2 linked regions of the Arabidopsis thaliana genome follow. The protein of the gene in region 2 interacts with the protein of the main gene of each other region in a pairwise test. Each region holds a gene or a part of one and is shown on either strand. Other genes may lie near its edges.

Evidence for each region. Proteins that work in one complex are often made in the same cells at the same time.
Region 1: the proteins of AT2G07738 (region 2) and AT1G07400 interact in a two-hybrid assay, tested with the Arabidopsis thaliana proteins (one large-scale study listed by BioGRID).

Annotation. Positions count from the first base shown.
Region 1 is NC_003070.9:2,272,173-2,277,800, forward strand, and holds AT1G07400 (HSP20-like chaperones superfamily protein), read left to right. Parts: upstream 1-2,753; 5' UTR 2,754-2,975; coding exon 2,976-3,449; 3' UTR 3,450-3,611; downstream 3,612-5,628. Other genes in the region: RLP1 (receptor like protein 1), read left to right, coding at 1-19, 279-2,482; RABA2b (RAB GTPase homolog A2B), read left to right, coding at 4,098-4,262, 4,503-4,982. UniProt on the Arabidopsis thaliana protein: Cytosolic mediator for sorting and targeting of nascent chloroplast outer envelope membrane (OEM) proteins to the chloroplast. Functions as an AKR2A cofactor to facilitate the targeting of OEP7 to chloroplasts.
Region 2 is NC_003071.7:3,491,089-3,496,412, forward strand, and holds AT2G07738 (uncharacterized protein), read right to left. Parts: upstream 1,699-5,324; 5' UTR 1,613-1,698; coding exon 1,346-1,612; 3' UTR 1,251-1,345; downstream 1-1,250. Other genes in the region: AT2G07795 (uncharacterized protein), read left to right, coding at 2,204-2,533; AT2G07739 (Ycf1 protein), read right to left, coding at 4,423-5,022.

The DNA.
Region 1 (5,628 bases), on a different chromosome or scaffold from region 2:
TTGTCTTTGACCCACGAAGGTGAATATTACAATAATTTTATCTTTCTTATCTTATGCATTTTTTGGTCTAAACAGAAGAGTCACACTTTGGTCACCCTCCTAACTGAATTTATACATAGATAGATTGTGAGAACAGAAGAACTTAATGAGTTACATGGCTATGAAGTCTAATTAGTTCATATGATGATGGAGTTGGTGAATATCTTGTTATTACTCTCTTTTAAAGATGAAGTTGATGATTATTCTGATTTCTTACACTCTTATTTGATTAATTTCAGGCTATTTAGGGATTTGCAGACTAATGAAACTCAGGGAGCTGGATTTGAGCAGCAATGCTTTAACAAGTCTACCTTATTGTTTGGGTAACTTAACGCATCTTCGAACTCTTGATCTATCGAACAACCAATTGAATGGAAACCTGTCTTCCTTTGTGTCTGGTCTACCATCAGTGCTTGAGTACTTGTCGCTGCTTGATAATAACTTCGACGGTTCGTTCTTGTTCAACTCACTGGTCAATCAAACAAGACTCACAGTATTCAAATTGTCATCAAAAGTTGGTGTGATCCAAGTTCAGACTGAGAGTTCATGGGCTCCATTGTTTCAATTGAAGATGTTATATTTATCGAATTGCAGTCTTGGCAGCACAATGCTCGGCTTTCTCGTGCATCAGCGTGACTTGTGCTTCGTTGATCTCTCTCATAACAAGTTGACAGGAACATTCCCGACTTGGCTTGTGAAGAATAACACAAGGCTGCAGACTATTTTACTAAGTGGGAACTCATTGACAAAGCTTCAACTACCTATTCTTGTTCATGGCTTGCAAGTTCTCGATATCTCGAGTAATATGATATATGATTCGATTCAAGAGGACATAGGGATGGTGTTTCCAAACCTGAGGTTTATGAACTTTTCTTCAAATCATTTTCAAGGAACTATACCATCTTCGATTGGGGAGATGAAAAGCCTACAAGTCTTGGACATGTCTTCTAATGGTCTATATGGGCAGCTACCTATTATGTTTTTAAGTGGTTGCTACTCGCTAAGGGTTCTGAAGCTCTCCAACAATCAATTACAGGGGAAAATATTTTCGAAGCATGCAAATCTTACTGGTTTAGTTGGGCTTTTTCTTGATGGCAACAATTTTACTGGGAGTCTTGAAGAGGGTTTATTGAAGTCAAAGAATCTTACTCTTTTAGACATATCAGATAATAGGTTTTCGGGCATGCTTCCACTTTGGATTGGTAGGATATCAAGGCTTTCCTACCTATACATGAGTGGTAATCAGCTAAAAGGTCCTTTCCCTTTTCTACGACAGAGTCCTTGGGTTGAGGTTATGGACATCTCACACAATAGCTTCTCTGGTTCGATACCAAGGAATGTGAATTTTCCATCTCTCAGAGAACTAAGACTACAAAACAATGAGTTTACGGGTTTAGTTCCGGGAAATTTATTCAAGGCTGCGGGATTAGAAGTGCTTGATTTGCGGAACAACAATTTTTCTGGAAAGATACTGAACACTATTGACCAGACATCTAAGTTACGTATTCTTCTTCTACGGAATAACAGCTTTCAAACTTATATCCCTGGGAAAATATGTCAGCTAAGTGAAGTTGGTCTGTTAGACTTGTCTCACAATCAATTCAGAGGCCCCATACCATCATGTTTCAGTAAAATGTCTTTTGGTGCAGAGCAGAATGACCGTACCATGTCACTTGTTGCAGATTTTGACTTCTCATACATTACATTCTTGCCACATTGTCAATATGGATCACATCTTAACTTGGATGATGGTGTCAGGAATGGTTATCAACCAAAACCAGCAACCGTAGTGGATTTTTTAACGAAAAGCAGATATGAGGCGTATCAAGGTGATATTCTCCGCTATATGCATGGTCTGGATTTGTCGAGCAACGAACTATCGGGTGAAATTCCAATCGAGATTGGAGATCTTCAGAATATCAGGTCCCTGAATTTGTCAAGTAACCGCCTCACAGGCTCCATACCAGATAGCATTTCAAAGCTGAAGGGCTTAGAGAGTCTTGATCTATCCAACAATAAGCTAGATGGAAGTATCCCTCCTGCGCTAGCCGATCTCAACAGTTTAGGATACTTGAATATCTCATATAACAATTTATCAGGTGAAATCCCTTTCAAAGGCCATCTTGTTACCTTTGACGAGAGGAGTTACATAGGCAACGCTCATCTCTGTGGACTTCCTACAAATAAAAATTGCATCTCCCAGAGAGTCCCTGAGCCACCAAGTGTGTCAACGCATGCCAAAGAGGAAGAAAATGAAGAAGAAGGTAATGTGATAGACATGGTGTGGTTTTACTGGACTTGTGCTGCAGTCTACATATCTACATCCTTGGCATTGTTTGCTTTCCTCTACATAGACTCACGATGGTCCCGAGAATGGTTTTATCGTGTAGATCTATGCGTTCATCATATTCTACAGTTCAAGCGTTCCTCAGTCTGCAACTGATTCTGTGGATTAGCCAAGGTATACACCACTGGAATAACACAGTCTTAAAATGCTTTCTTAGTTGATCCAAGTTAGATGAGAAAAAGCTTTTGTATACAAAATATATGTCTTCGATGTCAAATATATACATGATACCAGTTTCAATTTCTAAACATTATCTCATAATATTTGGGCCTCAGGAGCCCATTATAGCCCATAAAACGCATAACGGCTGAATAGAGTCGTACTGTACTTGAAATTGAAAGGCATCTACTAGTAGACTCTAGAGTTTTCTGGATTCTGTTTTCCAATCTTTTCATCGTTTTCGTGTGAAGTTTAAAGAAGTTTGGGACCCGTAAATTCTAGAAGCTCTGGAGATTTCTTGTTCACCACTATAAATACATCATCCGAGTCACCAGCTTTGCTCAGAAGTAGAAATCGAACTCGCCGGAAAATCGTAATTAGCTATCTCAGCATTCCAAACATCTCTTTCGCTTTCGAAATCAAATCGAGAATGTCGCTTATTCCAAGCTTCTTCGGCAACAACAGGCGAAGCAACAGCATCTTCGACCCGTTCTCACTCGACGTTTGGGATCCATTCAAGGAACTGCAATTCCCGTCGTCGCTCTCCGGAGAAACATCGGCGATAACGAACGCACGTGTGGACTGGAAAGAGACGGCGGAGGCGCACGTGTTCAAGGCCGATCTGCCGGGGATGAAGAAAGAGGAGGTTAAAGTGGAGATAGAGGACGACAGTGTGCTCAAGATCAGTGGAGAGAGACACGTGGAGAAAGAGGAGAAGCAGGACACGTGGCATCGTGTGGAGAGGTCGAGCGGGCAATTCTCGAGGAAGTTTAAGCTGCCGGAGAATGTGAAGATGGATCAAGTCAAGGCTTCCATGGAGAACGGAGTTCTGACTGTGACGGTGCCTAAAGTGGAAGAGGCTAAGAAGAAGGCTCAAGTTAAGTCTATTGATATCTCTGGCTAAAGCCAATTAGCTTATGGGTTTCATGTTTATGCGTAAAGACTCTTCTGATTATGGCTCTTGATTTGAATATGGCTCTGTGTTTTGGTAATGATGTATTATAACTGTTAATCCTAATAATTAAGCAAGGCCTTTATATTCTCGTTTCAATTGCTTTTTCTGAAGATTTTAGCCGTAAATTCGATTTTAACTCGGATGGGACCAACTAAACTTAAGTTTAAAGGTTGAATTTTTAATTTAGATATGCAATTTGCATAATCTGATCTTAGTTTTGGTATGACTGATTTGTAACAAAGTCTTATAACAAAAAGTTGAAATTTAATGAAATTATTTCTTCCGTGGTAAACAAAAAAAAAAGAATCTCAAAATTCGAAACTAAATAAAAGGGAGTTTCCGTTTTCACCTCTTGGGCACAAAACCCGCAACGTATAAGGAAAGGAAACAGAGAAATACAGAAACAAAATATATAAAAAAAACATTTGTTCCATTCTCGATCCTTCCGGCTTGCTCAAAAGGTAAAATTCGATTTTCTAGGGTTTCGATTTGCTGCTTTTTGATCTCATTGACGATGATTAGTTGTAGTTTCTTCGATCGATGTTGACGTGAATGTGTATATGCGTAGGTTGATCAGACGCTAGGATTTGAGAAGCAATGGCGAATAGAATAGATCATGAGTACGATTACTTGTTCAAGATCGTCCTGATCGGCGATTCCGGTGTTGGTAAATCCAACATTCTCTCTCGATTCACCAGAAACGAGTTCTGTCTCGAATCCAAATCCACCATTGGCGTCGAATTCGCCACCCGGACTTTACAGGTCATCTCTCTTCTCTCGCTTTCTCTAAATCTAGACAATTTCCCTCCAGATCAATTTGGTGTTTAATCTTAGATTGTGTCGTCGCATTTGCATCCTCTGATATTTGAACAGGCATGTGATTGTTAGATCTGAAGATCTTATGTTATGAAAATGAATTCTCGTTAGGGGTTTATTTTAATGTAATTGTAGCAAATGAAATGGCTCGTCTTTGTTCATGCTTGTATGTGTAATCTTGACTAGGTTGAAGGCAAAACAGTGAAGGCTCAGATTTGGGACACTGCAGGTCAAGAGCGTTATCGAGCAATCACAAGTGCTTACTACAGAGGAGCTGTTGGAGCTCTTCTTGTCTACGACATAACCAAGAGACAAACTTTTGAGAATGTCTTGAGATGGTTACGTGAGCTAAGGGATCATGCTGATTCCAACATTGTTATCATGATGGCTGGAAACAAATCAGACCTGAATCACTTGAGATCTGTTGCTGATGAAGATGGTCGCTCTCTCGCCGAGAAGGAAGGTTTGTCGTTTCTCGAGACATCTGCTTTAGAAGCGACTAACATCGAGAAAGCGTTTCAGACCATTTTGTCTGAGATTTATCATATCATAAGCAAGAAAGCTTTAGCGGCACAAGAAGCTGCAGGTAATCTTCCGGGCCAAGGAACAGCGATCAATATATCAGATTCATCTGCAACTAACAGAAAAGGATGCTGTTCTACCTAATTACAACAATCCAACTATAGTGATTACTAATCAATCAATCACACGTTTTGAGTTTTCTCTTCTGATCTCTTACCAGTTCGTTTCTTCTTTTTTGGTTTAATTTCAGCAAGTATAGTATACCTTTTTCTTTCCGGGTCTTTGTTTTTCCATATCGTATTGGATTTATGTTACAAGATTTTGCTTAGTTGTATTGAACTGTGATCATTCACACCATTTTCTGAAAAAAGAAAGATTTTTTTAGTATCTTGATTTAAAATCTCTTGAAGACATAAGTGTGAATGATTTCCTTAGGATTAGTTTTTGGTTTGGCCAGTTTATATGCTCTTTGATCATTGTAATAGTAGCAGCCAAAGTGGTCTATAAATTGTTGGTCAACCTCTTCTTGGCTTTAATGGGTTGTAATCCTTTTAACTTTTTTCATAATTTCAAATCTTGTTTCTGGTTTCAAAAATCAAAGCGAAATATACTAAAATAGGGTCACTAGGGAGGTGGAAGAGGGTGATGTGCACGTGGGGATGTGTTAGCAATAGCATTCATTTACTCCACCGAAAAGGCCCTGACTCTGATAGAGAGAGTGGTCTTAAAAAAATAAAAATAAAAAGAGTTGGTGAGAAAAATAAAAAAATATCTCAGTTGCCAGATATCT
Region 2 (5,324 bases):
GGCAGCGAAGTCTCCCGTTTATCCTGTCTCCTTCTCTTGGTTAGTGCGTACTACTTCCCAACGTATCTTATATAGAGACATTGGAGGAGCCTGATCTTCCATCTACGCAAAAGAGATGCTTGAGTTCTTCCATCCGCGAAGGCGGTGTGCTCAAATAAGTTAGTTTGTTACGAGACTATCAGGTCCACCAGGATAATTCGAGGTGGATAGCCCTGACTGACAGGGGACTAAGATTAGGAAGCATCCACAAGAGCGAAAGAGCCCTTTTATGTTTGTTTCGCTAATCTTATAGATTGGAAGTTTGCCCAGCACAGAGTAGTAGGGTTATGCTTTCGAAAGTCTTTTCAGAGTATAAGGGAGGTCCATCTTTAGAGATCTGAATGAAAGTTCTGAGCTTAATGGATTCCCGGAACCCCAGGACTTTAGAGAGTCCCAACCCTAAGAAGGCTTGCTCGGGTTGAAAGATGTGATGCAGCACAGACAGAGGTGCGATAGTAAGTCAATTGATCAGGAGAGGTGGTAGCTTCTGGTCTCTCAAGCTGACAATGGTAGTCTAGATAGATATAAAGTTCTATGCTGTTTGCTTGCTCAAGGCTAGAAGCAGGAGTCTGTTATTGATAGCTCCCGTTGCCATTGGCTGTTCCGCCCGTGGTCTTTCAGATAGACGTTCAAAATAAAATTCTTTTCATCCTCTCCTCCTGGCTACCAGTATATGGAGATGGTTTGATTCTGAGAGTTGAGGAACACCAAGCAAGATTTGATTGACATCATCTACGGCTTTGCGCCAATATGAATTATGAATATAGGTTAAGTGAAATCTGACAACCAGCACACTGCTTGATCTCATTAGCAGCTCCGGCGAAGCAGCACAGACCAAGGTAAGCACAGGATAGGCAGTATCTTTATGAAGTCTCGTAAGGCTCAGATCTTTAATAGAAGTAAACTTCAGGTCTTTGTTCTAATAAATAGCCATCTTCGTCCTCAATGGCAAGAAAGAAAGGCTGCTAGGAGTAAGTGGGAAGTGCCAGGGTAAAGCCCCTGATGGATCGATCAACGGATTCTGCAATTTCATCTCTTTCATAAGCGATTAATTCTTGTTTAGCCTTAGTTGGGATTTGGACTCAGAAGCCGAACACAGTTCTTAGATCGATTAAAAGCATGCCGCTTATCGACACTCTTTTTCTAAGGATCTTAGGCAGCGGTTGAAGTTACCAGGGATGGAACCATAGGTGCTTTAGCAACAGCAACTCGACTATTAGAACATGCGTACGTGAGGAGCAACTCGAGTGAAGAAGCAAGTTATGGTGTATTGTCCAATGTGCCCCGCTTTTCTCCATGCTGAGGACTATTCGACTTGTGAGTCAGATTCCGATTTAGTGGAGGAACTTCCTTTTGAAGGCACCCGAGAGCCTATATAAGATTTACCAATTTCCTCAGCTAGATGATCAAAGTCTTGGATGCAGGATGGCTCCAATCTGACAGATGTGGCACCAAAACCTAAAGATTCCTTTACTAGGGTTTGGTGGAATGATAGCCCAAAGAAGATTTTTGGTGTAGAAAGTCTCAAATTCAGGATCTTCCGCTGTACGGATTTCCTGGGAAACGAAGTCATAGGCACGTAGGTTCAGAGCCAGACCGATCACTCACAATATCCCTGGGCAAGCCAAAGATTTTGACCACATGCTTAAGGAACAACTCCGCAGCATCATGGACGGTGCATGCATGTTGCGCTGCTATGAACACAGCATACTTAGAAAAGCGATCCACCACTACCATCACGGACCTAATCTTTTTAGGAATGGAACCCACAAACAAGGTCTTGAAGAGCCTTGTGTTACCTAACTAAAGAGCTCCCAAGGCCACCTGATTCGGAGTAGAGCACTCCTATTTACACTTCGATTCCGCCCACTGATTCAGATCCAGCTAAGGCCCGCAACCAAAGAGGAGACACTTGCACCGGGGTAATGCTACCACACAGGTTTTGAGGCGAGGCGCTGCCCTCTTTCGGGCAATCAACTCTTTCTTGTACCTGGCACTAGTCAAATTGTATCTCGGTTCATGGCATGCCACAACGACTCTATCGGCTTATAGTCATTCCTGGCACTCGGCGCATGTCTTTGATCAACCCCGGTTCCGTCACTCGTATCTGGTTGAACCAGTACTTCCTTTCCGCCGTTCCTAGGGACCACCCACTCCCGTTCCCATGAGTGATCCGAGACAGTACGCGGAGATTAATCGGTCTCTTTTGGTTCTCATTCCAAAAGTTGAGCAGCCTGTTAGCATAAAAATGGCAATTATCCTCCTTCTATTCGTTCTGGATACGGGCCTAGTCCTGAGTGCGCTGTCTGTCTTCTCGGCTGGCCCAAACAACGGGATTGGTCCTGTGGGATTAGCACCAAAATTCCTCGGCATCTCATCCTCCTGTTGCTGGTCATTTCCTAAAGGATCGAAGGTTCAGCCGACGCCTCAAAGTGGATTTGTTGTGCGAAGGGTGCGACCGGGATTTAGAGTTAGAATAGCGGGGAAGACTTGACCTCAGGCAGCGTGAAACCAGTTTATTTCATTCGATGTAGTGGTCCGATTGCCTAGTGGAAGCCCTGAGGCACTTGATTCTTGCGTACGCTCGGCTCCTCTACCAATCACCACAGCGCGAGATGCGCAAGAGTGACCCATCTCTCCACACCAACTGGACCATACAATACACTCTTTATAAGAAAAAAAGATTTGGAACCGAAAGATAGGAAATAAATTTACTTCCAGAGCGGAAGGGAATACTTAACCACGCCTCGAGTCCCAGTCTCCTAGTGGTGAGATGGTAAAGGGCAATGTCCGGTTCTGGCCAAGAGATGTCTTTGCTCCGTCCCCCTTCTTGTTGGTTGGCACAAGCCCTTGTAGTAGTAAGTCTTTCCTCCGGCCGGATCGGATGTTAGAGTCAATTCCATTGTACGTTTGACCATTAAGTGAATGCAAATATAGGTAGAATTTGAATCAACGACCTAAGAGTCTTCTTTTGCCTATCGTAGTTACCTTGATGTGATAAATGGTCCAACTTTCTTGAAAGATATCAGATCTTTAAAGTCCTGCTCATATACATACTAATATGATCGCTACGAGGTCATCCCACTACACACCATCAAGCAACCACTACTGAAGCTATCAACTCAATTCTCTCGTTCGAATGGGGAGATAGATAAAAGAAACGAAACTCTATAAAATATCATAAGAGAAGAAGATTTTAATTCCAGCTTAAATAAGTAAGACTTGACTCTTTAAAAAATTCCGATCAACAACTTGGAGGGATGGCTGAGTGGCTTAAGGCATTGGTTTGCTAAATCGACATACAAGAAGATTGTATCATGGGTTCGAATCCCATTTCCTCCGGCGCGGAAGTGAAACGGGCGGGCGAAATGAGAAGAGCACTACTTAGTGACTAGGAGCGGGGAGCCCGTTGCGCGTTTTTTTGTTTGACCGGCCTATCTTCATAAGTAAGCTCCCTATGGCCGTCCAGTCCCTGGGCGGCTCTCGGTTCTTGAGCATGTTGGGAGATTAGTCGTCAATTGAAAGAGCTGCTCTAAAGCTTGACGAAGAAGTTTTCCCTATTAATTAGATTAGTAAAGGGCTTTTCCCTTACTAGTCAAGTGGTAAGGTAGGGCGCTCTTCGATGAAGAAAAGAAGAGACTTTTGGAAAAGTGGTTCAGCTCAGCTGGTTAGAGCAAAGGACTGTAAATCCTTGTGTCAGTGGTTCGAATCCACAACCACTTCTATTCTCGGAGCTGAGGTATATGAAGAATGGCCTTTTGGTCCTTTGGACACGTAGCCGAGAGCGAGCCGGATTTTTAAAATTCAAGTGAAAGAAGGAAGAAGGCAAAAAGCCGTATAGTGCAGGAGGCAGATGAAAAAAAAAAAGCAATTACAGTGAGACGCGAGGTGTAGCGCAGTCTGGTCAGCGCATCTGTTTTGGGTACAGAGGGCCATAGGTTCGAATCCTGTCACCTTGATTAATGTCTTTTTTTTTGGAACCTTTGTTTTGGAGTTTTCCCAAACCTATACCTTACTCATCTTACTAAGAAAATGGGGCTTATGTTTTTCAGCCGCATCGCACTGCTGCATAAACAATAGATCCGCTGGGCTGGATGAGCAACCTTCTATCTGGCCTCTGTACTAGTAGTAGAGTTGCTTGCTACTTTCAATCATAAAACGAAAATTGAGCAAGGCAAGGGAGAAAGAAGTTGTCCCCTCCTCTCTGGTAACCCGCCGCCGGTCATATAGAGCGCTCCGCCCGCCCCAGCATATGTATAAAAAAGAGGGAAGAAAGAACAACCGTTTTACTTTGGCACATGAGGTGGCGGGTTTGGCTAGGTAACATAATGGAAATGTATCGGACTGCAAATCCTGTAATGACGGTTCGACTCCGTCCTTGGCCTACACCTTCATGACCAGAAATAACTGGAACAAAGGGAAAGCCCACTCAACTAGTAACATACGGACACAAACAACAAAACTACTTGTTACAAATAACATCTTGTTGTTGCATCGAAACATATAAATGTTTACTAATCTGGCTAACATTGAACTTGGTAAAATTAAATGGTTGAATAATTTAAAAATTAGATTATTCGGGAATACACATTGAATGCGAAGATTACGCATTTCATTTCTGGTAGTAGATCCATAATCAAAAAAGTGTTTGTGATTGTTCCAGAAGAAGAAATGAAACAAAAGATACGGTAGAGCTAGGACAGTTATTGTATGAGGTCTACCCAATGCTAAATGCAGAGGCGCATAATAGATCGATATGAACATCATGAGCTGTCCCGCAATAAAACCTGTTGTTGCTGATACTTTCTTCTCGGTTCCTTCTTCTCCTTCGTCCATAACCCGAGCTCGGAGAAGGAAGAGATAAAAGGGCCCTATGGAGAATGTGGTCAGAAATCCATAATAGAGTCCGACCACAACGACCGAATTGATTATCTTCATGCATAAGTATACTAGATTACCTAGTATAAAAGATTGAAAAACCATCACAAACCTCCCCTTTTTCTTTTCTATTTCAATTTATGGATTATTATATGATGATTTTGCAACTTTCCATATATAGAAATAGAAAGAGATAGACTAGAAACGACATCTCTTATGTCAATGACACCAAAGGGATATTAAATGAATGGAATTGGGATATGGATAGAATATAATGAAATAAATAGAGCCGCTTTGAGGTTCCCTATGAAATGAGGCATGGAACGGAGCCACTACGAAGAAGTTCCGGGGGTTACGAAGGAAACTTCGAGTTCATATTGGTCATGTGGGTTGAGAACGGGAATTGA